Linked DNA regions of Neurospora crassa OR74A. The protein of the gene in region 2 interacts with the protein of the main gene of each other region in a pairwise test. Links are inferred from orthologs where the notes say so. Each region holds a gene or a part of one and is shown on either strand. Other genes may lie near its edges. The genes, in order: NCU04637, act and crn.

The links.
Region 1: the proteins of act (region 2) and NCU04637 interact in binary tests that used the Saccharomyces cerevisiae proteins (3 or more experiments, as listed by UniProt). The link is inferred for Neurospora crassa OR74A from reciprocal best matches to the Saccharomyces cerevisiae genes ACT1 and RVS167.
Region 3: the proteins of act (region 2) and crn interact in binary tests that used the Saccharomyces cerevisiae proteins (3 or more experiments, as listed by UniProt). The link is inferred for Neurospora crassa OR74A from reciprocal best matches to the Saccharomyces cerevisiae genes ACT1 and CRN1.

What each region holds. Positions count from the first base shown.
Region 1 is NC_026505.1:1,372,777-1,383,787, forward strand, and holds NCU04637 (BAR adaptor protein RVS167), read right to left. Parts: upstream 5,564-11,011; 5' UTR 4,848-5,563; coding exon 4,812-4,847; intron 4,654-4,811; coding exon 3,312-4,653; intron 3,235-3,311; coding exon 3,209-3,234; 3' UTR 2,464-3,208; downstream 1-2,463. Other genes in the region: NCU04638 (hypothetical protein), read right to left, coding at 1-1,106; NCU04636 (cysteine desulfurase), read left to right, coding at 6,172-6,442, 6,515-7,338, 7,527-7,949; NCU04635 (hypothetical protein), read left to right, coding at 9,189-9,290, 9,354-9,545, 9,623-9,877. UniProt on the Saccharomyces cerevisiae protein: Component of a cytoskeletal structure that is required for the formation of endocytic vesicles at the plasma membrane level.
Region 2 is NC_026505.1:5,085,575-5,089,569, reverse strand, and holds act (actin, variant), read right to left. Parts: upstream 2,801-3,995; 5' UTR 2,465-2,800; coding exon 2,458-2,464; intron 2,318-2,457; coding exon 2,287-2,317; intron 2,141-2,286; coding exon 2,085-2,140; intron 1,967-2,084; coding exon 1,936-1,966; intron 1,858-1,935; coding exon 1,086-1,857; intron 1,022-1,085; coding exon 791-1,021; 3' UTR 790-790; exon of another isoform or gene 721-789; 3' UTR 323-720; downstream 1-322. Other genes in the region: NCU04174 (hypothetical protein), read left to right, coding at 1-48. UniProt on the Saccharomyces cerevisiae protein: Actins are highly conserved proteins that are involved in various types of cell motility and are ubiquitously expressed in all eukaryotic cells.
Region 3 is NC_026503.1:2,985,989-2,997,117, forward strand, and holds crn (coronin-6), read right to left. Parts: upstream 6,940-11,129; 5' UTR 6,746-6,939; coding exon 6,712-6,745; intron 6,557-6,711; coding exon 6,468-6,556; intron 6,347-6,467; coding exon 6,204-6,346; intron 6,142-6,203; coding exon 5,995-6,141; intron 5,939-5,994; coding exon 5,517-5,938; intron 5,451-5,516; coding exon 5,414-5,450; intron 5,359-5,413; coding exon 4,410-5,358; 3' UTR 3,960-4,409; downstream 1-3,959. Other genes in the region: trp-1 (anthranilate synthase component II), read left to right, coding at 1-806; NCU00201 (hypothetical protein), read left to right, coding at 1,470-1,573, 1,840-3,856; nst-5 (SIR2 family histone deacetylase), read left to right, coding at 8,487-9,725; NCU00204 (hypothetical protein), read right to left, coding at 9,770-9,948, 10,012-10,477.

The DNA.
Region 1 (11,011 bases), about 3.7 Mb from region 2:
TGTGGCGGTAAGCTCAAGCTGGGATGAGTAAGAGCCATGGGATTGACATCGGACAGAGCGGGATTATAAAGATGTTGAACAGGAGGAAGGCAAGCTTGCTGGGTGGGTGGAACCTGAGGTGCTTTTCGTTGTTTGGCCTTCAAACCAGAATTGACGGGACTTGGCTGTTGAATCTGCAACATATCAACTGCAGTGCCTATGTCCTGCCTCGTCTGAGCAGTTTGTAGCCTATCCAACGAAGGGAGAGCCCCGGCCACAGCCACATCAGGAGTTGGGTTGAAAAGAAGCGATGTAAGCGGGCCACGAGATAGCTTTTTGGGAGAGAGCACGGGCAGATGTACACTGTCAGTCGAGATTTTGAACTCGGCTGCTGCAGGATTCAATTTCTTGGTTGCGATTTGGGCCTCCAAACTTCTTCTTGTGGCCGCGGCCGGCTCGTCTTGGAAATCCCTAGAGTTGTCCGACGTTGAGTAATGTACGATGCACGATGGGTTGCTACCGCTGGCGTACCCAGAGTCGCTGAATCTGCCCTTTCTTTCAGGGCGCGGCTCGGTGACTTGGTTCAGTTGGGTATTTTCGAACACTGCACCATCCTTCAGTTTGGCACACAGAATGGCGGGATCAGCAGGTTGTAGCTTGCTGCTTGGTACCCTGGGCTTTACCAAGGATGGAGTTGGCAGGCGCTTCTGGAGACGGTTGATCATGTTGCGAAAGCGTTTCTCCTCGTCATCTTGAGGCTTTGTTTCCGAACGTTCAGACGCGCCTGTACTGTCTTTGGAATCCTGGGGCCTATTGCTAGACAGGGGCGCATCAAATGGGCAACTTTCGGGCTTCCTAGAAGGGGCATTTGATGTGGGGAGTTCCCGAATGGTGTTTAGTAAGGCCTGGATATCGTCCGGGAGCTCGCGGTCGATAGTCACCCAGTCAGAGGAGATTTTGCCGCTGAGGATTCTGGGATCTAGGACGCGTCTGAGTTCTCCAAAAGTAGGGGAGCTGGATGAGTCATCGGAGTGGTCGCTTTTGAAGCACTTGGGGCGGATGTCGAAAGTGAATCGGTTAGGTAATGGTATGTTTTCGCCGTTGACGTTCATGAGCATTGGCTTCATGTCTTCAATATGAACCACTATTGGTTTCTGAGCCGAGTCAATTGAATGTTCAGAAGTACCTGCAGAGTGCGCCGCTGATTGGTTTGAGACTGAGCGGTCTCCTGGTGCTGATGAAACCACTTCCTAAGCAGTTTCGCCGTCATTCGGGCGGTAGAATCCAGGTTCGCGAGGCATTTCCATGGAGTGCTCTGTAGCGCTCGACCGTTGAGCAATCTTTTTCCGGAGGTTCCCCTTGTTTGACATTCCAGGGGCAGACGCATACTTGCGCCAGTCATCGGATGCAAGTGCTTTTCCTTTTCCATCAAAACCGACTGAATCCCCCACAGTAGTCTTGACTTTCAACGCAGGAACTCTAGAGCGGCTAAAGTTCCTGCGACTGGTGATGTGACTGGTTACGGCAGCCATATTGTCTGAAATCCCACGGATGTCGCTCGATGTGGGTGCCTTCGGTCCTTCAAGGGCGTAAAGGGTCCTTCCTGGTCTGAGACGTGTTAGTCAACTGCATACTCATGAAGTGTCCACGCAACGATAATCGAGCTCCGAGTCATCACGTTAATACTTTGTGAAAGGAACTAAAAAAACAACTCACGGCAAGTCCAGGAGAGCAGCAGTATCGCGTTGGTGTCGTGAACTGGAAGAACAAATCCGGTGTTGGTCTTCAAGCCGAATCTGTGTATTCGTTGATTTTTGGTAGCGGACTCGGATGTTTTGAATGGGCCTGTCTGTTCCGCGGGGACGATTGAGAGAAGAGTCGGCAACAAAATAAGGCCAGGCAAGTCCAACGCAAATTGATGGGACTGATTCAGACAGGCTGTCGAGAGTGGTCTTGCGGAAGGGGATTGGTAGCCGGGGGTGTTTTCTTTCTTTTAGTGCAAGATTTCCTTCGTTCCAAATAAAAACGCTTGAAGTGTATCAACACGAAGAAAGAGGCCAGGGGAGAAGAGATGACATAATACTGCGAACCGCAAGACAAATAGAGAGACGATACCCAAAAAATGGCGGCCAAAAGATTGCCTGGAGTCTGCGAGTTACGCTGCGCTTGGTGGTAGTGGTGGTGTTTGTGAGAAGAGGAAGAAGAGTTTGTGTGCAAGTGAGAAGAGGGGAATTAAAAGCCCATAGATCTGGGTTTGCCCGACATACTGGAGATTGTGACTCCCTGTCTTGCTTCACAGCCACGGAGGGACTCATGGAGAATTGGAGGGAGGAGCATACAGCTGGGTTGCTTGGCGCATTATTGGAAGCTTCTGTTAGCCTTAGTCTTGTACAACAAGGCAGGTGCATGTCTCTCACTTGAAGCTAAACCAGAGGACCTCGCTATCCAGGGCACCGAAGCATTGCATCTTAGCTGGAGGCCATCGTTCAACATCGGTATTTCCAATAAGGACCCTCCAGTACACTTGCCATGGCTTTCAGTGATACCTACCTGTAGATGAGTAGCAGATATGATACACATCTTTCTTTCCTCCCAAAAAAAAACCTGAATCCTTGGAGTCGAGCCAGGAGGTGAAGCCGAGCCAGGTAGTTTTGACAAGGCAAGCGGTTGTTGGTGACACTAGATTCAAGCTGAGCTGCGTGGTCGTTGCGTTAACAAAATTAGAAATTAGCTTCACCTGAGGAAGCTTGACGCGCGGGCAAGTACCTAACCTAAAGGGAACAAACCACGACGGCGATCATGGCAAAACGCATCTAATCAAAACTTCCAGGTTTGACCCAATGCACTGTGACCTTTTCACTCCGTTGCTTCCTTCGCTCCAAAACAATACACCCGCCATTTCCCTAGACGCAAACACCCGGGACCCTCTCGCTCCACGCTCCTCGCAGGTCCTCCTTCGCGACGGAGTTTCCTCCTGCCTGACTATTCTCAACAGAGTCACCTGCCGCATATCATTGCATCCGTATAGGATCACCAAGGCCCTGCTACAGAACGTCACGGCCTGGTACGATGTAGACGAACTAGAAAGAATCCGTGTTGTGGTTGCAAATGAATAACTCGACCATGAACGGGTCCACAAAAAAGGGGTATAGGTTGAAGTCGTGCTGAGAAGTGAAGTGTGCTGAAAGCAACTCTTTGATAACTACATTTACAAGTAGCCTTGTATCCTCTAGCTGTTTAACTGGACATAGTTTCCTAGCAAAAGACCATTGTGTCAGAACATATCCAGCTCGCAACAAAGCAAGCACCCTAAGAAATAGTACAGTACGTACCTGGGAATTGACCCTGCTTTCCATGCAACTTTCCAATCCACCACTCATTCTCGTTCGCAGTCCTTGTTACTATCTCAATCACATCACCGGCACGGAAGCTCAGATCGCCCTCCGCCTGCGCCGAGTAGTCGTAAAGCGCTGTGACGGTCTCTACTTTGGGTGCCGCCGCCATGAGGGCCTTGGGCTTGGGCTTCGGCGGTGGGGGCTTGGCCTTTGCAGCCGCCGCCATGGACAACGACGAGGGTTTCGGGCTGGCAACTGGAGCGGCGTAGGAGGCGGGCGTAGCATGTAGCGTGCTCGGCTTCACCGAATACGGTGGCGGCGCATGCGCTTCTACTGTTTCCGCCTGGGTTTCCCAAGGTCGCGGTGCTGTGACGGCAGGAGCTTGTTGTTGCTGTTCCCAGGGGCGTGGGGCTGTGACTGAGGGAGCCGCCTCAGGCGGACCGGTGGAAGTGGTCGTGGAGGAGCCAGCTGTAAGTAGGCCTGCTGGCTTGTTTCCTTCGAGAGCGCCTGGACGTTGGTACTTGGGCGGTCGCTTCATACCCGTGGTCTTGAACTTGACAATGGAGAGAGCCTCAGCCCGCTCCTGGACGTCACCTCGCTTCGCGTAAAAGGCCTCCTCAATGTCCAGGGTCAGGTCGAAGTAGCCAATGTCGCAGTGCTGCATCTTCTCGTGCAAGGTGTAGAAGATGTTGAGCTGCATGTAGTAGAAGGACTGGAAAAGCGGCTGAATGAACTGGCGTTCGAGGGCAAACAGCTTGGGTAGCTCGTCCTTAAGCAGATCGTTGAAGTAATTGTACTCTTGCGTGGCCTGCTCAACTTCGTTCTCAGCCTTCCACATGGCCTTCTCGTCCTTTGCCGACCGGTCTTTCTTGTCCTGGAGCTTCTTGAGGGTGGCGCGGTGTCTGTCGTAGTCCAGCTTCTTGTGCTCGCGCTTCACGGCCGTTTTGCGAATGACCTTGATCACATCGAGGAGCTCGTTCGCTGGCCGAATAACCCTAGCCTCAATCATTTCCAACTCTGGCGCCAGTGTTTCCTGCAGGTCCTTGACAACGGCCTCGTACTCCTCGCAGGCGGCAATACCCTCATAGTTGCCATGGGGAACGAGCGAATCGGGATCGGACATGCGGCCGCTGATGGGCTTGTAGATTTCGGTCATTGCCTTTGAGAACTCGATTTGGTGTTGCAGCATGCCATTGATGGCCTCAAAGTACTTTTTGCTTTCATCGTGAAGGCGTTTGGTCTCGGTTTCGAGCTCCTGGAATCTGCGCTCCGAGTCGATGTAGACAGGGTCTTTGGTATGCTCGCCGAGGTTAAACTTTTGCTTGAATTGTTGTGGTGCCTGGTTTCTGTCGTGTTAGTGCCTGTTTGCCAACCCGAGTGATTCGGCGCTATTTCTGCCACAGACGGGGGACTCGACGGGAAGGGCGGAAGTGATGATGACGCTGTAACCGAAACTAGGGGAGGTGAGATCAACTAGGTATGCGGGGCAGAACCTACGCGGACCACGCTTTTTTGGAAGCCCCTGAAGCTCATATTCTGCTACGAAGCCGTATGATGTCTGATGTGTATTCGGTGTTTGTATGGAGATGCGCAAAGCGGGTTGCTGTTCGGAGAGGTTGAAGGCAATCGGTGGTCGAGTGCCCTCTTCAAGTCGGATCCGGATACGATGGTGATGACGCTGGGGGTGGGCAGGGGGGCGGTGCAGGTCGTTTGGCTGGTGGACGAAGTCTTGGCTGAGCGAAGCTTGCGACGGTTTGCGTGGCGCTGCTATTTGCTGAATGTTGGACACGCCGCACACAGCGACCTCGTTCCAAGATGTAGTGTGAAAAGTCTTTTTGTCTAGGCGTCTTGTGATTTCGGTTTGTTCTTGAATCCCGTCGGTCGGACCCTTGTCAGCAGTTCCGTTCGAGGTCCGACAAACTTCCTCGGGGAGGATTCGGTCTTCAACGGTAGGAGGTAAAGTAGCTAGAGGTAGCTGTCCTAGAGGTAAGATGCTACTAAATAGTTTAGCAGTGTAAATGGAATTCAAGTAGGTTGTCGGCGGTTATATGGCATGTCACTGATGGTTCAAGTTATAGTCCAACGCAGACATCCAATGCGAATGGAAACAGAATACTACCGAGGAGGTAAATAGGTACCGTCATCGGTTGTTCTGCTTTTGGTCGATGAGACCCCGGAAAGGAACGAATTGGAACGACGGGGTAGACCGACTGGGTCTGGGGCCCGCTGTAGTGTAGCTTTCATCCCAGTGGACATGCCGATTGAGAGAACAGATGGATGCCTGCCCCGGGTCAGTGCTCTTCCTTTCTGTGCAATGATGGATCAGATGCGTCCGCGGAGTCCGTTTCACAAGTGGACATTCCGCACTGTATTTGTCAAGTCAGTCGCCGCGGTGCACATCGAGCGTTCAGTTTCCGTCATGCCCGGCGGCCCATTCTCTAACATTTTGGAGCAGCGTCATTTTCGCCGTACGTACATACGCGCTTGTCCGATGTCCGAGAAAGAAACAGGTGGGGCCATCCGATGGCAGAATGACCAATCAAAGTGCCAAACCTTGTTGGTTGTCGCCCCTCATTGGCACATTCCTTTATCACCGACCCCTCCGAGGCCAAGTCCGCGTGCGGATGCCGTTTGTTTCGATTTGTTCTTTTCTGTATGGCGGAAATTCCACTCCGACCGCCGAAGAGCGGGAGGCGGCAGCTCCATCTGAATTTCTGAGTGTGTTTTGAGCCGCCCCGCCCGCTGCCTCCATCCGTTTTTGTAGGTTTGGTTACAAAACGAACTTTTTCTCCCTCATCCGCCATCACCCTCACCACCATATTCTCTTTTCCTCTCCTTCTTTCTTCTTCCTTTTACCATGTCCACCATTGCGCCGTCCGTCTTGCGACAGGCATCGCGCTTGGCCGCGGCCGCTCCTCTCCGCAGCGCGCGTGTGCTGTCGCGGGCGACTACTGCGGCTGCTGTCAAGACTGCTTCTGCTTCCAGGAGCTATGTGACCGAGACCAAGAGGAACAACGCCGACGTGCAGGCCGAGCATGCTATCAAGCTGGATCACAGGGAGATGGAGAAGCAGGGCCTCACTATAAGCGCGCAAAATGGCTCGAGCCAACACGTCAGCCCCATGGCTGGTAAGCATCATCATCACCTCCCACCTCTTCGGAGACATATTGCGCAGTCGTCCTCGTTGCTGACTCAACTAGATGTTCTCAGCAATGCTACCGTGATGGATGAGGGACAGCGTCCCATCTACCTGGATATGCAGGCCACAACCCCCATCGACCCCAGAGTGCTCGATGCCATGATGCCCTACTTCACCAACGTCTATGGCAACCCCCACTCGAGGACACATGCCTACGGCTGGGAGACTGACAAGGCCGTTGAAGAGGCGAGGAAACACATTGCTGATCTGATTGGCGCTGACCCCAAGGAAATCATCTTCACCAGCGGTGCCACCGAAAGCAACAACATGAGTATCAAGGGCGTCGCTAGGTTCTTTGGCCGGTCCGGCAAGAAGAAGCACATCATCACCAGCCAGACAGAACACAAGTGTGTCCTCGACAGCTGCAGGCATCTCCAGGACGAGGGTTTCGAAGTGACCTATCTCCCAGTGAAGAGCAGCGGCCTGATCGACATGGCGGAGCTGGAGGCTGCCATCCGTCCCGACACCGCCATCGTCAGTATCATGGCTGTCAACAACGAAATTGGTGTCATCCAACCCCTCGAGGAAATCGGCAAGCTTTGCCGGTCCAAGAAGATCTTCTTCCACACCGACGCTGCCCAGGCTGTTGGCAAGATCCCCGTTGACGTTAACGCCATGAACATTGACTTGATGTCCATCTCCTCCCACAAGATTTACGGCCCCAAGGGCATTGGTGCATGCTACGTCCGTCGTCGGCCAAGAGTCAGACTGGACCCCATTATCAGCGGTGGTGGTCAGGAGAGAGGTCTTCGCAGCGGCACGCTCGCTCCTCCGCTCGTTGTCGGCTTCGGAGAGGCGTGCCGCATCGCCAAGGAAGAAATGCCGGTATGTTACAGTCTCTTTTGTCTTCCTTTGCCCCTTTTATGATGAGTCGCTTTACACATGCATGGCTTTCTGAAGTCCCGTGACAAGGACTCCTTGTTGATAGACAGCAACTTCTCTGATCATGATTCTTCCATATCCCACATTTAATGCATCTCTCGTTCAAGGATGGGCGCTAACTGTTACAACAGTACGACTCCAAGCGCATCAAGCACCTTTCCGACCGTCTTCTCAACGGTCTGCTCTCCATGGAGCACACCAGCCAGAACGGTGATCCCAACCACTTCTACCCCGGCTGCGTGAACGTTTCTTTCGCCTATGTCGAGGGTGAGTCCCTCTTGATGGCCTTGAAGGATATTGCACTTTCTTCTGGCAGTGCTTGCACTTCGGCTTCTCTGGAGCCTAGTTATGTTCTCCGTGCTTTGGGTAACAGTGATGAGAGCGCCCACTCCAGTATCCGTTTCGGTATCGGCCGGTTCACTACCGAGCAGGAGATCGACTACGTGCTCAAGGCCGTAACGGAGCGTGTGGGCTTCCTCCGTGAGCTTTCTCCTCTGTGGGAGCTCGTCCAGGAGGGTATCGACCTGAACACGATCCAGTGGAGTCAGCACTGAGAGGTGACATGATGTGGTTGATGTGCGGTATTTTAACACGGTTTATAAACTGGGCGGAGTTTCTATTGCATTTTTATTTCTCCCGCTGCGCTGCCTTTTCACAAACACTACAGGCCGCTCGGGTTGTTTATACGGCCAACTTTACGAATTGCCGAGGCTCCCGCAAGGACGGAAGCAAGGGGCAAAACATGACCCATTGTATACTATCATGTATGTAAGCGATATTTGCGGATGACCTTTGTTTTGATGAGCAAGAGAATGATACCATAGGGCTGGGAGGCGGCGCTCGGAGGTGTCAGAAGAACAATTCATCATTCATATAATGGATACACATAATTCCCCAGCACTGTGGCTGATAAACGTCTTTTTTTCCATTTGACTTTGGCTGTGTGTAGATCGTGTCCATTTTGTGACTGTTCTGAACCCCCCAACCCGATGGTTCTGCTGAAGAACTCTACAAAGGGCGTGCGTATACAATGTGGCCAGTTACCGAGGTCGAAGGCCAGACAATGAGTGAGTGTGTACATAGTAGTGTACGTTCTCAGAACTAAGGGTCAAGGGTTCCACCTGAAAACCGCCTTGGTGTTGAGGGGCTTAGCTCGGCTCGTTGGTGGCTGCGACGACTTATGATGTCACAGTTTCGTTTGAGATGGTGGGATGAACTGACGAACGAACCCCTATTGGCAGCCTCTCGCCTATGACATCATAGTCTCTGGTGTGCTTTGTGAGACTACAAACGACATCTTCACAGGCACACACTATGGTAAGGCCATCCAATGGACATTGCTGCCACATGCAATGACTAGTAAGTTGCTGGAAGCTACGAACTGGAACAAACAAGAAAGACCATGACTGGACCAATTAGAGCAAAAAGCGGGTTAGACATTTCGGAAGTGATGAACTGACACAAGGCTCACATGGCCATTTTCAGGCCTCTCCAGTCCGTCATTGCCTCCAACCCCAGGCCAAGATTTCGGTAGGACCCTGAATTTTCATGGACGGGAAGGTCTGTTCTGGTCATCCGATCTTGCTTTTGTTTGTCTTCATGCGGGTTGTGTTGGACCTTGTGCAAGTCGAGCTTGGGATATATAAAGAAAAGATATCCTGCCCCTTAAGACAATTTTCTGATCATCATTCCCACGATACAATCCATCACTCAATAAACCACAACTACTCTCCAACAACAACTTCGAACCGATCCATCACCACATCAACCTAAACATACCACAACCACCCAACATGTCTACCGAGAACAACTCCACCCTCAAGTCCTACATCGACTCCGCCACCGGCGCTGTCCAGAGCGCCGTTGGTAATATCGTTGGCAACCGCGGCGATCAGGTACGGTTGCAGTCCTTTGGTTCACACTCACCTCGTTCCCATAACTAACACCCAGGACTACAGGCCGAAGGTGAGCTCAAGCAGGAGAAGGCTCACGCCGAGCACGCCGCCTCGCACGATACCGCTAAGGTCCCCGGCTTCACGGCCACCTCTGACGGTGCCGTCGCCGCCGATCACCCCGACCGCACGTCCGGTTCTTGGAAACAGACCGCCGGCGCGGCCAAGGAGTTTATCGGTGGAGCTGTCGGCTCTGAGGTATGTCTATTTGCTACCTCCATTTTTTCACTCTTTCGTCTTCGACAAACAGCTCGCTAACCTACCAATTGCTACAGGACCTCAAGCAAGCCGGCCGCCAACAAAACCGCGAAGGCCAAGAGCAGGAAGCCCGCGGCCAGGTCAAGGACCTCGGCGAGGGCGCCAAGGATCGTTTTACCGGCCAGCTCGGAAATGCTGCTGCCGCGCTCGTCGGCGACCGCGAGAAGCAGGCCGAATATCAGTCTCAGCATGATGTTGGCAAGGCCCAGCAGCGTGGTGCGGAACATGATATCCAGAAGGAGGCTGAGGCGCAGAAGAACGCTGATCTCTAAATGATCGAGGAAAGACTCCGTCTTGAAAGGAAGGAAGACGAGGTTGAGGATGGATTAAAGATTATACCCCCCATTTCACCTATTGACGAATTCATGACCACGCAACGACTTTAGTTTCGGATAATAAACTGTTATTCTGAACAATATTTTTGAGCATGATTGACGCAAGCGAAGATATCGTGATGTTGACTGATATGTCGATGTCGAAACTTTAGTTATGGTTTGGCGAATATGGAATGGCACTTGGACTCACCATTCCAGAGACAGGGTGTTCGTCTCGATGACTTGGATCAAAACGATTCGAGCAGGCCTCAATTTATGGTTTTGACATGTGCGGGCTGCCGTGTACAGTGTTGCGGAAACAGGCCCATGTTGAAGCTCACTGCAGGATCGAGACTTAAATTGCTTGCGTGAGTACTTCCCCTCAGGCTATCCGGCATACTTCCAAGATTCAGTTTTTATAGGGGTAAAGCCCAAAAGTTTGAGGTCGTCATCCGCCCCAAACAGGAAGTTTGAGGAAGAGAACTGAAGTCGAAACCTTGAGGCAGAAGAGGGCCGGGATGATGAGACGAGATGATAGATAAGCTGATGGAGACGTCAACGGGATGAGCGGGCAGTTGCAGGGGGCGGCACTGCAACAAGGCAACAGCAAGCCTCCTCCCCGTCAACGGCAGGCAAGTGGGGTAGATTTCAGGTGCCTGCTTGGCAGCTTAGCTCCCGCTTCAATGCCGAACGTTCGCTGTTGACCACCTCAACTGACTCCCCTCATCATCTCACACGATGAGAAGTGAAATACCGGCGAAGTTCTCGCTTGGTCGGCATCCACCTCAGCTGAACTCCACGCTCGTTCTTGTCACTTCTATTTCCTGGCCTTGGGGTTGTGGGAAATACCAAGCCGGGAGACGATCCAACGGCCAAGCCTCCTCCTCGCTCTGCCTCCAACACAAGGAGATGAAGCATGGCCCCCAATCCGCCCAACTCATCCACACAAATCTGGTTGACCGGACCCAAACTAGGCTGAAGTGTTTTCATGTCCTTCCAAATGTAGTTACCGTTGGTATTGCTCATCACCAACTCTATGTTTCGGGCGTTTTGGAGATCTGGTCATTCGGTCTCGCTATCCGAAATATGGTG
Region 2 (3,995 bases):
AAGGCTGAGAAGCGCGGAGGAAACAATGCGGATGGCGGTAGACACTAGACAGTAAGAATACCTACCCATTGTGTCAGCGAAAAGCCATCTGTGGTTTCTGCCACTGGTTTGCAATCCTGGCCATGTTTGATCATAAGGAAACGGCTGCTTGTTACTCGGTTCCTGAAGCGGTGAGGATCGCTTAGTTGGATTCGGTAGGTATGGCCGCCTCCCCTTCAAGTCAATAAGACATTACGGTGGATCCGATACCTTGACGGCTAGCAATTCCCCTTTTCTCCTTGGCTTGCACGTATCTCACGACCAACGAAAGGGCAGCTGAAGGTGCTCAGAAATACAGAACGCTGTTTGAATTTTGATGATCTCTTCATCCACGATAACCTCGAATTTCCCAGTGGTGACTAAATCTTGCTGCTAAAAGTGTAGTAAATAGAGAAAGGGTGTTGGCAAGATCAAGAAGCCCGCATACTTGACCGCGCCTATCCCACGCATTCGCAGCCGTCGCCGCCCACCCAGAAAACAGAAAAAAAAGGCCATTATTTATGTCTTCTAGTAGAGAAAAGAGACGCCAGCCCCCTTCTGACCACGCTCGCTACTTTTTGTATAAGAGAGACCTGTGCAGAATACACGCGCAATGCAGACATGCTACTTGACGCAGATAGGGGTGTTATGTCCCCAGTTGGCGCTGGCTCGTGACAGTCGTGGATTTGTCCATTTATTGAACTACATACATGGTGTAAGCCGACGACGCTCCGCTTCCAACTGCAACAACCACCTCTCAAGGGCACCCACTTTAGAAGCACTTGCGGTGCACGATCGAGGGACCGCTCTCGTCGTACTCCTGCTTGGAGATCCACATCTGCTGGAAGGTCGAGAGCGAGGCGAGAATGGAACCACCGATCCAGACGGAGTACTTGCGCTCGGGAGGAGCAATGATCTTGACCTTCATGGAAGAAGGAGCAAGAGCAGTGATCTCCTTCTGCATACGGTCGGAGAGACCAGGGTACATGGTGGTACCACCAGACTAGTGACGATTCTGTTAGCGGACCTAGCCTATACTGCCATCTCCACAGCGAACGGGGACTTACCATGACAATGTTGCCATAGAGATCCTTCCTGACGTCGACATCGCACTTCATGATGGAGTTGAAAGTGGTGACGTGGATGCCGCCAGATTCGAGACCAAGGACGGAAGGCTGGAAGAGAGCCTCAGGGGCACGGAAACGCTCGTTGCCGATGGTGATGACCTGACCGTCGGGAAGCTCGTAGGACTTCTCGAGAGAAGAGCTCTGGGCAGCGGTCTGAATCTCCTGCTCGAAGTCGAGAGCGACGTAGCAGAGCTTCTCCTTGATGTCACGAACGATTTCGCGCTCGGCGGTGGTGGAGAAGGTGTAACCACGCTCAGCGAGAATCTTCATGAGGTAGTCGGTAAGATCACGGCCAGCCATGTCAACACGGGCAATGGCGTGGGGAAGGGCGAAACCCTCGTAGATGGGGACGACGTGAGTGACACCGTCACCGGAGTCGAGGACGATACCGGTGGTACGACCGGAGGCGTAGAGAGAAAGGACGGCCTGGATGGAGACGTAGAAGGCGGGGGCGTTGAAAGTCTCGAAAACGATCTGTGTCATCTTCTCACGGTTGGACTTGGGGTTGATGGGAGCCTCGGTAAGAAGGACGGGGTGCTCCTCGGGGGCGACACGGAGCTCGTTGTAGAAGGTGTGATGCCAAATCTTCTCCATGTCGTCCCAGTTGGTAACGACACCGTGCTCGATGGGGTACCTGAGAGTAAGGATACCACGCTTGGACTGAGCCTCATCACCGACATACGAGTCCTTCTGGCCCATACCGATCATGATACTGGCATGTTGTCAGTTTTTTCTGAAAGTCTTGGAGTGTTGCGCGCACGGGACGCGGGGGGGAAAGTGGCATGCATACCCATGATGACGGGGACGACCGACGATGGAAGCTATCGCGACATGTTAGCATGGCTGGGACGTTGGGTCTTGGCGGGGAGGCAAGTAGCTCTGCTGACACGTTGCCCGTCTCAAGCAAGAGCACCTCGCGGGAATAGTGGGAACACTTACGGAAAACAGCTCTGGGGGCGTCATCACCGGCGAAACCGGCCTTGCACATACCCGAACTGGGCGGTTGTTAGCTACTGTCCATCGTCATTGTTCACCATGTAGAACGGGCTATGGGGGGGCCGCGAGGCGTCGATTGCGGGAGGAATATGACGCTTCTCCTAGGAGTCGGTGAGGCGCAGGCGAAAAGGAGGGGAAAGCTTACCCATTGTCGATGACGAGGGCGGCAACTTCTTCTGTTGGCGGGAACGCATGAATCAGCTTGTGCCCATGATAACCAGTAGAGGGAGATGGCGATGGTAGAAGTCCGATCCGCCGGCGACCAGCTCGCCAGCGCGGGCAGACTGGGCAGGAATGTGGACATGTTGTTACGTACCCTCCATTGTGATAGATTAGGTGGTGACGAAAAGTGTCGGATTAAGCAAAAGGTACAGAAGAAGAGTTATTAAATACGCTCGACGATTCCCGGATCGATGGAGCGATGATGCTTTGGCTGAGAGAGGTGTTGCCGAAGGACGTAGAGACGTTGTTTGGGCAAAAATTTGGATGTTGTTCGGTAGGCGGAAGAGTTGGAAAAGGGGAGGTGAATTTAAGGTCAGCTTTGGGAGTACGAGGCGGCGGGTGGATTGAGGGGGGTAAAGGTAGGGGAGGTAAGGGGATGGGATTGCTGTGGTGCCAGGTGCGAGGGAACGGATGGCGGACTGGGGGGGGGAGGGGAGGGGACGGTTGATTCCATTGGGGACGGGACTGGGCCGGGACTGTCTGCACTGGGCATTGCTGGCTGCTAGGTCCAGTTGGTTGGACTGGGCCTGGTCACCTCACGGCGTGGTTGTGGGACTTGGCGGCGGAGGAGGAGGAGGAGGAGGAAGGAAAGGCGGGCAAGGACGACACCGATGTCACTGAGTGGTACTGACAGTGAGTGCCCGGCCGACTTCCAGGTCCCAACAAGCATTCATTTCATCCTCGCCGGGCTGCTGCGCTGCCTGCACTCCATGTTGCCCGGTTCACGACGGGATGGATCACCACAGTAGACTACAAGTACAAACCTAGAGGTAACTGCGCTGCCTTCTTCCCAGGCCGTCCCCTCTCCCTCGCTGTTCGCTTTCCACACCCCTACTCTAAATCATCAAATCACTGGCCGCACCGCCCCCTTGCCCTCTGGCATCTTCGTGGACAAGTTGTCAAGTCGCAGTATCATGCCTGATTCGAGGTGGCTCAAGGTGGATTCCTGAGTGGCCTGCGATCCGTCTGGAAAGTGGGTAGGAGACACCGCCTAATTTTGGGAGGGCAAAGGGGATCTTCCTGCCGCCAACACACTTTGGGAGGCTTCCGCACCTCGGAGGCGACGTCTAGGTTGACATCAATGCCCGTCTGGCAACTGGCAGCCCGTTCAAGATCCCCTTTGATTTCAGTCTACCTAACTACATTGGATACCTACACGACCTGACTTGTATACTATGTAAAAGGATATCATATCGCAGCACGGCCGGGGTCGTCACCGCTGCGTGCCGTTCGACGGGTGCAGCTAGACAGACGGTTCAGTTGTACGTAGCGTAGGTAGTACCTAGTGAGCACGGTGGGAGCGTGGTGCGTGGCTGGGTCCGCCCCCGACGTTGTGTCAGCGTTCAGTCTTCTTCAACCTAATGTCCCTCCCCTGCGTCGTTGCCGTCGTACCTGGTCGCTGTCCCTTGTCGTACCCCGTTCATTACTTGTTTATTACTCCTCCTGGAGAACCGCGATTGCAATTCCAGAAGATCCAATGTCTTCTTTACCGTCTCTTCTGTTGGAGCCTGGCTGATCACGATCTCTTGGAGCTTGTCCGGATCGCAATTCCCATGGCCCCGGGGCCCGAGTGTCTTGAAGGCTCCATGGCCGCCCCGGTCCGGGATCCGACGGAGATAGATATGTAGCCTA
Region 3 (11,129 bases), on a different chromosome or scaffold from region 2:
TTCTTGTCGGCGAGGCCATCATGCGTGCCCCTGATGCCACCCAGTTCATCCGTGAGCTCTGCGCCGGCCTGACGGGCCCCGTGCCCAAGTCCGCCGCCGAGCCGCTGCTTGTCAAGATCTGCGGCACCCGTTCTGCCGAGGCCGCTGCGGAAGCCATCAAGGCCGGTGCTGATCTTGTGGGCATGATCATGGTGCCAGGCACCAAGCGTTGCGTCGACCATGAGACCGCCCTTTCCATCTCCCAGGCTGTGCACATGAGCAAGAAGACCGGATCCACCGAGGTCTCCTCGCAAGCCTCCAAGTCCGCAAGGGACTTTTTCAATATCAACGCCGAGATCATCCGCAAGCGGGGACCTCTGCTGGTAGGTGTCTTCATGAACCAGCCCCTTGAGGAGGTGCTCGAGAAGCAGCATCTCTACGATCTCGATATCGTCCAGCTCCACGGTGACGAGCCGCTCGAGTGGGCCAACCTTATTCCAGTCCCCGTTGTCCGCAAGTTCAAGCCCGGCCAGGTCGGTCTTGCGACCCGTGGGTACCATGCCGTGCCCCTGCTGGATTCGGGCGCTGGATCCGGCACGTTGTTGGACTTGGAGTCTGTCAAGAAGGAGTTGGAGAAGGATGAGCAGGTAACCGTCTTGCTTGCGGGCGGATTGGAGCCTAGCAATGTTGTCGAGACGGTAAAATCTTTGGGGCCTCTGAGTGAGAGGGTGATTGGTGTTGATGTTAGCAGTGGCGTTGAGGAGGGAGGCAAGCAGAGCTTGGAGAAGATCAGGGAGTTTGTTAAGGCTGCCAAGTCTGTCAGGTAAAAAGCTTACGGTGCGGTTAAGGCCCAAAAATCAAGTCTCTTTCTTTCGGTATCTCTATATGGGTTCTCAAAAGGTGGAATTGTGATTATGTTCATGGTTCTGACGACTCAGAATGCGAATGTGACAGAACAGAACTGATATGGATTGCTGGAGAAGACTGGGGGGGATACTGACTGACCCCTTATTCTTTGTCATGATTCATACCGGGACATCCTCAGTGTTCAAATGACAGACACTATGGACTTCCACACCCTGACACCACCCGCACCACAATGCTTTGATCTGCTGATTTGTCGACAAAGCAGCAACGAGACAGCAACTCCTGGACTCTTCATCTTGAAAATGGAAGAATCTCAACATATATACCAACCCTTCCACGAAGCAAACTTTTAACTTTAAGGATCATCTCACCAGTTATCAGCCGATGTTTCTTTACAAGCCGATATTGCCCAACCATGTCCCAGCCACATAACACAACGCTCCCTTCCCGCCAAACCCACAACCCCCTTCCACATCCATCCGACAATAATCCACCCCTTCTCCCCCGTCTCCCTCCTTATCCCTACCCCATAGACCTAACAGTGTACACTCCCTCCGTCCCCTGCCTCCACTGCTCCCTCGTCTCCTCCTCTCCGCGGTGCTCCCTCCTCAACTTACTCAACCATGGCGAACAGCGTGACCAAAACCGACGCCCCAAGTTCACCCCGCCATGGTGGTACAGGTACAGATATAAACCGGACATTCCTCTCCCAGTTCCAGGATTACAGGTAAGGTGTTCGAGGTGTGTGAGGGATGGGATTGAGTGGTGCGTGTTGAGGGAGATGGATGGAGCACGGAACGTAGCACCGATGGGGGGTAGGATGTGGATGCCGATGGTAGGTTCGGGGAGGTTGAGGGAGGGGGAGGGGGAGGGGTCTTTAAATGAAGGCGGGAAGAAAGAGACTGGAGAGGTGAGTGTTACCAAGGAGTTGTCGGGTGTTGGTGGTAGAGGACATAGTGGTGGTGCTGCAGGTGGTGGGAATGATGAAAAGAGACCTTTAGAATCACTGGTGAGCAGGGCACGGCGGATTGCGAGACTTAGGAAGATTCGGGAGGGTTCTGTGAAGGACGAGAATGTGGATGGGTCTTTTGCTCCGGAAAAGGTTACACAAACTGTTGAGTCTGGCAAGTCGACGAGATTGTCCACGGCGAATCCAGCATTACAGCAACAAAGCTCGACCTCGCTCGATCTGCCCGGTCATGATGCCAACAACAACACCAACAACAACAACCAGAACACCGACAATGAAAGCAACACCGACCCTAATGCATCCGATTCCGACGCCAAGTCAAACGTCTCATCCAAGACTTCCCTCTCTAAGAGATCCATCAAGTCTACCAACTCTACCACCTCCTCTTCTCCCCCAGTCAAAGCACACCCAGAGTCACCTCCTGCACCACCACCCTCACCACCAGAACGCATATCATCAAACTATGTTCTGAACAAAAAGACATCATGGATCTGGAAGCCAAGGGCCCAGGAGGAGGTCATCCCGGGGAACCAAAAGTTGGAAAGAAAGAAGTGGGAATTGAACAGGGAAGAGTGGATAGATCACCCCCTTTTCGCGGCCGTAACAGCAATAAAGGTAACGAAGCGGGATCTTGCGGACTTGATTTACCCCGAAACAACAACACGACAAGGCAAGGAAATGGAGATGGAGATGACGGGAAAAAAGCTTGTGAAGAAGAAAACCAAAAAACAAACGCCAGGACTGAAAAGGTTTTTCAACTCTGAAGTTCCCTTCATTGCATATGTCAGGACCACAGGCCTAGAGGGAAGAGAAGAAGAAGAAGAAGAAGAAGACTTGCTGCAGATTGTGAGAAACCAGATACGGGACGTCATGAAAAGTTACGAGCAGACGGATAAACGCAAGAAAGAGGCGATAGCCGCGGCAGAGGGGTATTTACCACTTGAGAGCTGGCTCGGAGGAGGAGGGTTCTTGACGCAGGAGGATCTGCAAAGACAGTTTGCGTTGCCGAGTTGGCGGAAAAGGGAGTTGGAGTTTTTGAGTGAGGGTTTGGTGAAGATGCGGAGGAGAAAGGAGGAGAGAAGGATACAGGATGGAGAGATCAAGGAGTGGGTGATGGGGGGTAAGAAGAGGGCGAGGGATGCCGCGGGAGGTAGAAAGGAGGATGGAGAACAAGAAGAGGAGAAGAAGAAGAAAAAGGAAAACGAACCGAAAGATCAAGTACAAACCTCCCAGGAATCCGACACCTCCATCCCCAACCCTTTTGAACTTCCCCCTTGCACACCCACCGAATACTTCTCCCACCGCCGCCACCGCCTCCACACCTTTTGGACCAAAGAAGCCCAACCCGCTGATTTCCAGTACGCCAAAGCCATCAAGCGCACCACCCTCCGCAAGTGGCGGGGTGTTAAAAAGAAAAGAAGAAGAAGAAGCTACACCAGCAAAGTATACGGATCGAGATGGACAACCACAACCCCCTCCTCCTGGTCCTCTTCCTCCTCTTCCTCCTCGACCGAAGATGATGAGGAGGAACAGAACAAGGAGCGGAAGACTTTAACTGGGTGGTTCGCTGGCTATCAACAACGTAAGCGGGAGCGAATGCTGCGAATGGCTAGAGGTATGGATGGTAGTGGTGGTGGTAGTAGTGTTCGTACGGATACCGGTGAGTCACTAGTACCAGGAGGGACGGGGACGAGGAGGAAGAAGAATCAGACTCGTCAAGAATGGGCTGAGGATGATGACAATCAAGAATGGGAGGGGGGAAAGGGAGAGGACTCGGACGATGAGAGACGGATACTGGCTGATGATTTGGAGTTGGTGGTTGATGCCAGTGAGGATGAGGATATCTTGAGGTTTTTGGGTGATCGTTGTGACGACGACGACGACGACGACGACGACGACGACGACGACGACGACGACGACGACGACAACGACTATGTGGGGGGTGAGGGAGAGTGGATTGGAAGTGAAGGGGTAGATGGGGATTATGATAGTTACCCGCTTGTAGATCACGTTCGGGAGTCAATGATAAATGAGTATTAACTGGCCGGCCGTCTCGTTGGTCACGTAGGTAAGGGTTTGATGCCGTCAACTGGTTACTTACTTGTGTTTAACTTGCCTCACGTAAGAGTACAGATTTCCAATGTCCATACCGAAACCGTAATCGTTACCGGGCAGTGTATCCATATCCTAGATAACTTCACTACATCAACGAATCGGGAGAGCTCACACGAACAGTATACAGCACGAACAGGTTGAAAAACTAGTTACTATACTCCAAAGACACCAATTGAACGCTTTCCTTTGCTTGCCTTGGCTATGCTGTCCTTGTTCTCCTTCTTGATCTTCATCTGCTTCAAGTTGCTTGCTTGCTTTTTTCATTTCATGCCCCATTTGAAAGCTATATCGTCGTCATCCAATCATCCTGCATCCATCCCCTACGTGTCCAACTACTACTTACCCCAACAACGTCGACTTTCATTATAAACTCGGTAAGAGAGAGAAGTATGTTCAAGGACTGGTCTGACAGTATAACCCAGTGAGAGAGCGAGAGGGACGTATAAACTTTGGACCTGAACTCTCAAAACTCTGACTCTTACGACCTAGCAGCCTCGAGCTCCAGCTCCAACTGTCTGATTCTCTCGCTCTGATCCTGCGGGCCGGGTCCGACCCTCTTCTTGAGGGTCTCGACTTCGGTGGCAAGATGGCTGATGATCTGACTCTGGGCCTGGATCTTGTCGCTCTGTGCACCAATAATCCTGCTCTGCTGCTCAAGAAGCTGCGTGATCTGGGAAAGAGAGGCCTCGACGTTTCCCGAGGAAGGGGAAGCGGTAGAAGCAGGCGCAGGGGCGGCTGCGGTGGTCCTGACTGGCGAGGCAAGCTTCTGGACTGGGGTCTGGTACGTCGTCGGGGAAGGTGTCTTGCCGGCGGAAGCGGGAGGAAGGGATGTTCGCACAGAAACCGGGGCGGCGGCTCTAGCAGCGGGGCGCGAAACCTCCTCGAAGGGAGAGGACTCGCCCTCACTTGGCTCGGCGTCCTCGTTATCCTGGAACTTGTTTGCAATAGCGGACATGGAGGCCTTCTGGTCCGCCACGGTCGACGTGGGCACACGAGTAGCGGGTGGGGGCGTGGATTCCATCTTGGACACGGGGGGCTGGATAGGAGACGAGACGGCAGTGGGAGGCTTGTAATCGGCCGGAACTTCCCTGGGTGCGGTACCCTCGTAGATGCTCTCCATGTCGATCTTGGCCGGGATGCCGTCCTTGCCGTCAAACCACTCCTGGGCGGACACGGCGGGCTTGAGGCCGGTCGCAGGGGGGTAGATGTCGGACTGGAAGGTCTCGGCACGACGGGGAACAGTGAAGGAGATGGGCTCGATGTACTGATCATTGACGGTCTTGTAGGCCCTCATGATTTCGTTCTCGTGGACGTTGACACCACGGCGAGGCACAAAAGCAATACCTCTCTGGGGGTCACCAGACTTGTACTCGGCCAGGAACTCCAACTTGTCGTTCTCGTACTCGAAATAACGAATGTTGCCATCACTGCGGACGTTAGCATGCTATCTATCGTTCCTATCTCGGGTTGCGACAAACTTACCCCTTGCCAGCAAGGTACAGGCAGTTAGAGCCGTCATCTACGAAAAAAGACCACAGTTAGCTTCGGCGCATACAAAAGCCATGGTCCAGCAAGCGTGACTTACCCCAGAAAGGCATGCAGACACCAGAGATGGAGTCGAGCGAGGTGAAACCACCGATGGGGTCCTTCCTGCCAGGCTCCCACAGGGCAACCTGACGGTCACTCATCCGGGAGAAACCAGTGGTGGCGATACGGTTGTGTTCACCAAGCCATACAGCACGACTGTTCTTGGCGCCCTCGTGGCCCTGGTATTCGTGGACTGCGGACTGCTGGCGCACATCCCACACGCGCAGCTTCTTGTCGCGAGAGGTGGTGACAAGCATTGTGCCGTTGGCGCTCCACGACAAAGACTGCACAATGTCGGGGTGCTTGATGGCGATGGGGGCTTGGCCGGTCTCGACGTCCCAGAACTTGACCGTCAAGTCGCCGGACGACGAGGCGAGAATGTTTTCGGCGGCGGGGTTGAAGAGGACATGGCCGACCTTTCTGGTTTGTGTGAGCGCAAGCCTTACTGAATCTTATCTTCAGGGTGTAGATCGTACCTCGTGTGGCCAGAGAGCTTGCTGAGGGGTGAGACATCGGCCGGCTCTTCGGCGTCTGTATAGAGGGTGAAGTTCTCGGGCACCTGCCAGACAAACACCTTTCCATCGTCGGAGGCAGAGGCGATCAAGCGGTCGTTGAAGGGGTTCCTAAGAGGAGCCTAGGTCAGATTGTCTTGTCGGGTCGTTGTAGCGCATGCGCAAGAGCGTACCAGTCAGTGTCGAGGACGGCGGCGGTGTGGCCACGGAACAGCGGTATTTGGTCGGGAAGCTTGCCGCGCTCGTTGAGGGGGATGACGGCGAAGGCGCCACCACCGCTCGACTCCCAGTTGACGGCCAAGTACTCGGGGTTGGCCTAGGTGTAGGCGAGACAAAGACACGGTCAGTATATAACGACCATGGAAGCTATGGATAGGGCGCAAGTAGTGGAGAGGAGCGTAGGAGCACAGGAAGTATTTAAACAGGTAGGTACCTACCTTTATGAGGTTGGTGTCCCAGGCATTGTGGCTGATGCGAAGGTTGTCGTAGCAGAACTCCTTGCGCGTGGGCTTGCCGAAGACGTGTCCTAGCAGTCGCGGCTATCGTGTCAGTCCATGTCTCTCTCTCCAAGCTCGTCGCGACTCCCATCGTGGATACGGCGCGCTACCTCGGGAGCTACAGTATCCATCCAGCTGGTGTGCTAAGGAGCCTTCGGGGGAGGAACACGGGGGATCGACATACGATACTTCGACGCTCTGACGAAACGGCCGGACATCGGGAGGGATTAGGGCAGTAAGCTGCTAGCTGGTAGCTGGTAGGAATAAGGGAATAATAGTGTAGTAAGGAAATAAATCTTGGACTCGATTATGGATTACTGAGTGTTTAGACGGGAGCTGAGATAGGGGGGGGGGGGGGACTTTCAGTGTTTTGGTGGTTTGGGAATCGATACCGGCCGATGGGGTACAGTGGTACCTGCCAGTAGTAATAAACCAGGAGGTTAGTACCAGACACACCTCAGAGGCGGGTACTTGACCGATACTTGGCCCTGCCTGTGCCTGGTGCAGCAAGCGACTGTTGAGGTGGTTGACTGCCCTGCTAAACCGACTACACTAGGCCATCCTGGGCTGGCGCGGCTGAGTCCCGGGCAGGTCCCGTCGGCGTGGACCCGTCCCTGATCGGCTTGGCTTCGGCGCATGTTCCAGGGCAGCAAGTGAGCTCTTTAGCTGGTCCACTTCCCCACTGCCTGCCCCTCTCCCCGTGTTCCCAACGTTCGATTCGCACGCCATCGCCAATGCTGCTCTGGGACCTTTGTGAAGTCCTTCAGCCATCCGGTCGCATCTGATAATAAATGAGATCCAACTGTTGCGAAGTAAGAAAGGATTTTTACTTGATGTGTTGTGCGAGTGGTGGCAGCTAGTAAGGAGGTATTGCGTGTCTTTGCATGGCTCTCTGAAAGTCAAGGGTGAGGCATCATGTATTCGCTGGATACAAACAAACTCGAAAAGGGGGTTCAGGGGGGACACGCATTGAGTGTGGATCCATCATGTTGACACAAGACAATGTTACAACAAGAAAGCCTGAACAAGTGATGGTGCTTGCGCAAAGATACTCATGTGACAAAATACCCGAACTTTCGGGATTCAGAGAGATTTGTTTAGTTGGTCAATGTCATTAGATCAAAGTTCATAGAATCGATTGGCATGGATCGATATTATTCAACGTCTTGATGTTGACAGCCAAAATTGAAAATCGACTTTGCTGGAAACTTGTCACCATCCCATTCATAGAGCGCTATTTCTCGGCATCTGGAAGACGGGATCAAAGACAGAAAACCAAAAACGAAAAAATAACAGACTGAGTGATGGAAACGCATTTCCTTATGATGGCGCCGTTGTGAAGAAAAAGTCAAAAACTTAGTCGTACTGGGGATCGAACCCAGAACCTTCTCGGATCAGATTCAACTAATGTGAACGAGAAATCATAACCATTAGACCATACGACTCTGTTGAGTTCAAGTACCACCTTGAGGTCTTATGTAGACGAGAGCTTTCAGCCACCCCACCAAGCATGGGGCGGGACAAGATCCCGTAATGGTGTAGAACTAGTGTAATGTAAGCAAAGCCAACCCAACGGGAATACAGGATAGACGCACCTCTTCAATTGGAGTGTTACAAAAAGAAACCCGTCTGGAAAATTTCAACAGCCATTCTATCAAGTTCAAGCTAATTCGTTATATGTCAATGACCATCATGTTCTTCGAAAGGGGCAAGTAAACAATTGTTCTTTGTTCCGCAGCTCATGCAGATGCCAAGATGGCCCGAGCTTTTCGGATCTTCGGTGACGACACTGACTCGATCTCACCGAGTGCCACTGTGATTCCGCATCTGGACTGAGACAAACTTCACAACATCCAACATGGAGATTTGGCATTGTAGGTAGCGGCGTGTGCCGCCTCGTTATCCTTAACAACAAATACTGCCACCCATCAGATCCGAATCATACGGCAGCACATCAAAATGTCCACCCTAGCGACAACAGCAGCCGGCACCCTCCGAATGCGGATTCCCTACCGAGAGCTGCCTCCCCCGACCACCATCATACCTGCCACCGCCACGACCCTGCCCGGCGCCGTGGCTGCTCTCAAGTCATTCCTCACCGCCCCTCCGCCGTCCGGTTTACCCAATCGAACTGTCATCCTCACCGGTGCCGGCCTTTCCGTGGCCAGCGGCTTAGCCGACTACCGTGGCGTCAACGGCACCTACCGGGTCAATAAGGACTACAAGCCGATTTTCCACCACGAGTTTCTCGCCAGCCACGAGACGCGGCAGCGATACTGGGCACGAAGCTACATCGGATGGAGGGGTCTGGGACGGGCCGGCCCGAACCCGGGCCACTACGCGATCCGGGACCTTGGGAATCTGCTCACCGAGCGCTACAGCGGTGACCGAAACAACAAAAGCATTACGGGTGTAATCACACAGAATGTCGATTCCTTCCACAAAATGAGCCATCCCGATATACAAACCGTCGAATTGCACGGGACTCTAGCCTCGGTTGTTTGTACATCGTGCCGGAACCAATTTCCTCGAGATGAGTATCAAACCACACTGGCCAGGCTCAACCCGATCTGGGCCGATTTCCTTCGCGAGGCGCTGGCATCAGGAGCCCTGGAGACGGAGGACATTGAAGAACGGAACAAGAAGGGTATCAAGATGAACCCAGATGGTGATGTGGACCTGGCCGAGGCACCTTACACCACGTTTCGTTACCCAGCATGTCCGTCGTGTCTGAAGGAGCCGCCACGTCTTGCAGATGGCACCAAGACATGGGTAGAAATCGACAAAGATGGTGCATGGATACCGTCCAGTACTGCGGGAGTTCTGAAACCGGCAGTAATCATGTTTGGAGAGAGTATAAGCGCCGAGGTCAAGAGCGAGGCGGAAAAGGCCATTGACAATGCCGGACGAATGCTCATCTTAGGCACCTCTCTCGCGACCTACTCGGCTTGGCGGCTGGCACAGCGGGCGAAGCTCCGAGGAATGCCTATAGCCATTGTGAGCATCGGTGGTGTGAGGCGCGAAGAGATGTTCTTTGAAGATCTAGACCCTAAGATGGCCGGTCCTCATGGGGTTAGAGTGGAGATGGCTACTGAACAGCTGTTACCGGCGCTCGTGGAGGAGCTCAAGAGTTATAACAATGGGGCCATGGTGGCCGAGGTACCCGTGGGCAGGTTGTTTACTGGACGGGTCCGCTAGCGGACGCCCATCTATCAATAATAGAATAAAAAGGTCTTGTCGACTTAGAAGAAGGCACCCTTGAGGGCTGCAGGCGAGATCTTGGGCGTTGTCTCGGTCTGGGTCTCGGTCTGCGTCTGGGGTTGTTCCTTTACGGGCTCTGCCTTGGCTTGCTGGGCAAGTTTCGCCGCCTTTTGTTGCTTTGCCTTGTGCATGATCTCTTCGCGTTCGATCTCCTTGAGGACTGTTATTGAATCTTCATATCAGCCTGTGCTCTCCGTATCATATCCACCTGCGTTTAACGAACCTTCATCCCAAGCAGCCTCCTTCTCCGGATCGCCAGTGCCCAACACATTCTCAACATCCACCTCTTCACCCTTCTGTATCCTCTCGACCACCTCACGCAAGGTATTAATCCTGACATCGGCCTGGCGCGAAAAGGCCGCATAGTCTTTTTTGAGCGAGATCATCTGGATAGCCATGGAACCGATCATTAGAAAGATGATGATAAAGAAGGTGGCCGGGTTCCACTCGGTCGATTTCGGCATCTTTGTGTGGTTGATGGAGTCATCGCCGAATCGCAAGAACTTGGGAACCAACGACTTCCAAAATGACACTTTGGCGACTCTAGGGACGATTACATCCGGGGCGCCGCTCGCGAGGCGGATCGAGGTGGAAAACGAAGCTCGAAGAACTGTCGAGGGGACTTGACGATGGAGCAAGGCAGCATGCGCATTGCGCCCAAGGCGCTGAGGAAGAGAAGTTCGGCGCATGGTAGGTAGCAATTCGGAAATGTCGCGTTGTCTTGTGTTGGGATTCGGTGGCTGTTGAAGCCTAAGTAGGATTGCGACGGATCAGAGCAGTTGTCGAAATCAAGTGTTGCGGGAGAGAAACTGGGAGAGACCCTGAAAAGAGAAAGTGAGAAGACGACGGACTCGAAGCTTCGTTCTTCTTCCACTTCGGGCAAAAAGTTCACTCGAGTTCAGTTCAGTTCAGTTGCAGTGAGTGACACAGCGCCAAAATTCCCACAAGTGACATCCCACCTCACACGGCAGGCAAAGGTGGGGTCTTTCTGCCATTCCATCCCGCTGCCCCTGGCTGGCCGATGCGCCCCACGTAGTGAGGTACGTACCGTGTGCTTTCGTACCTGCGTTGCAGTTGCCCGGGCAACTTGAACTCGTTGAATCTTTGTTGCGACCAAGTCAACATCCCGCCAACAAGGGTTCGTTCTCCCCGTCTTCAGCAGCCGGATTCGTGACCGGGGGGAGCTCCATTGTTGGACACCAATTCGCAATCCACCTTGGCGTTTGCTTCCACATCTTATTTACATTCCAGCCATCCTCCATGCACTACCCTCTTTTGCCGTCTTTTGGATAGTGTCCCTAGTCCTCTACCTACGTTATAGGCGATGACATGATTAGGAAT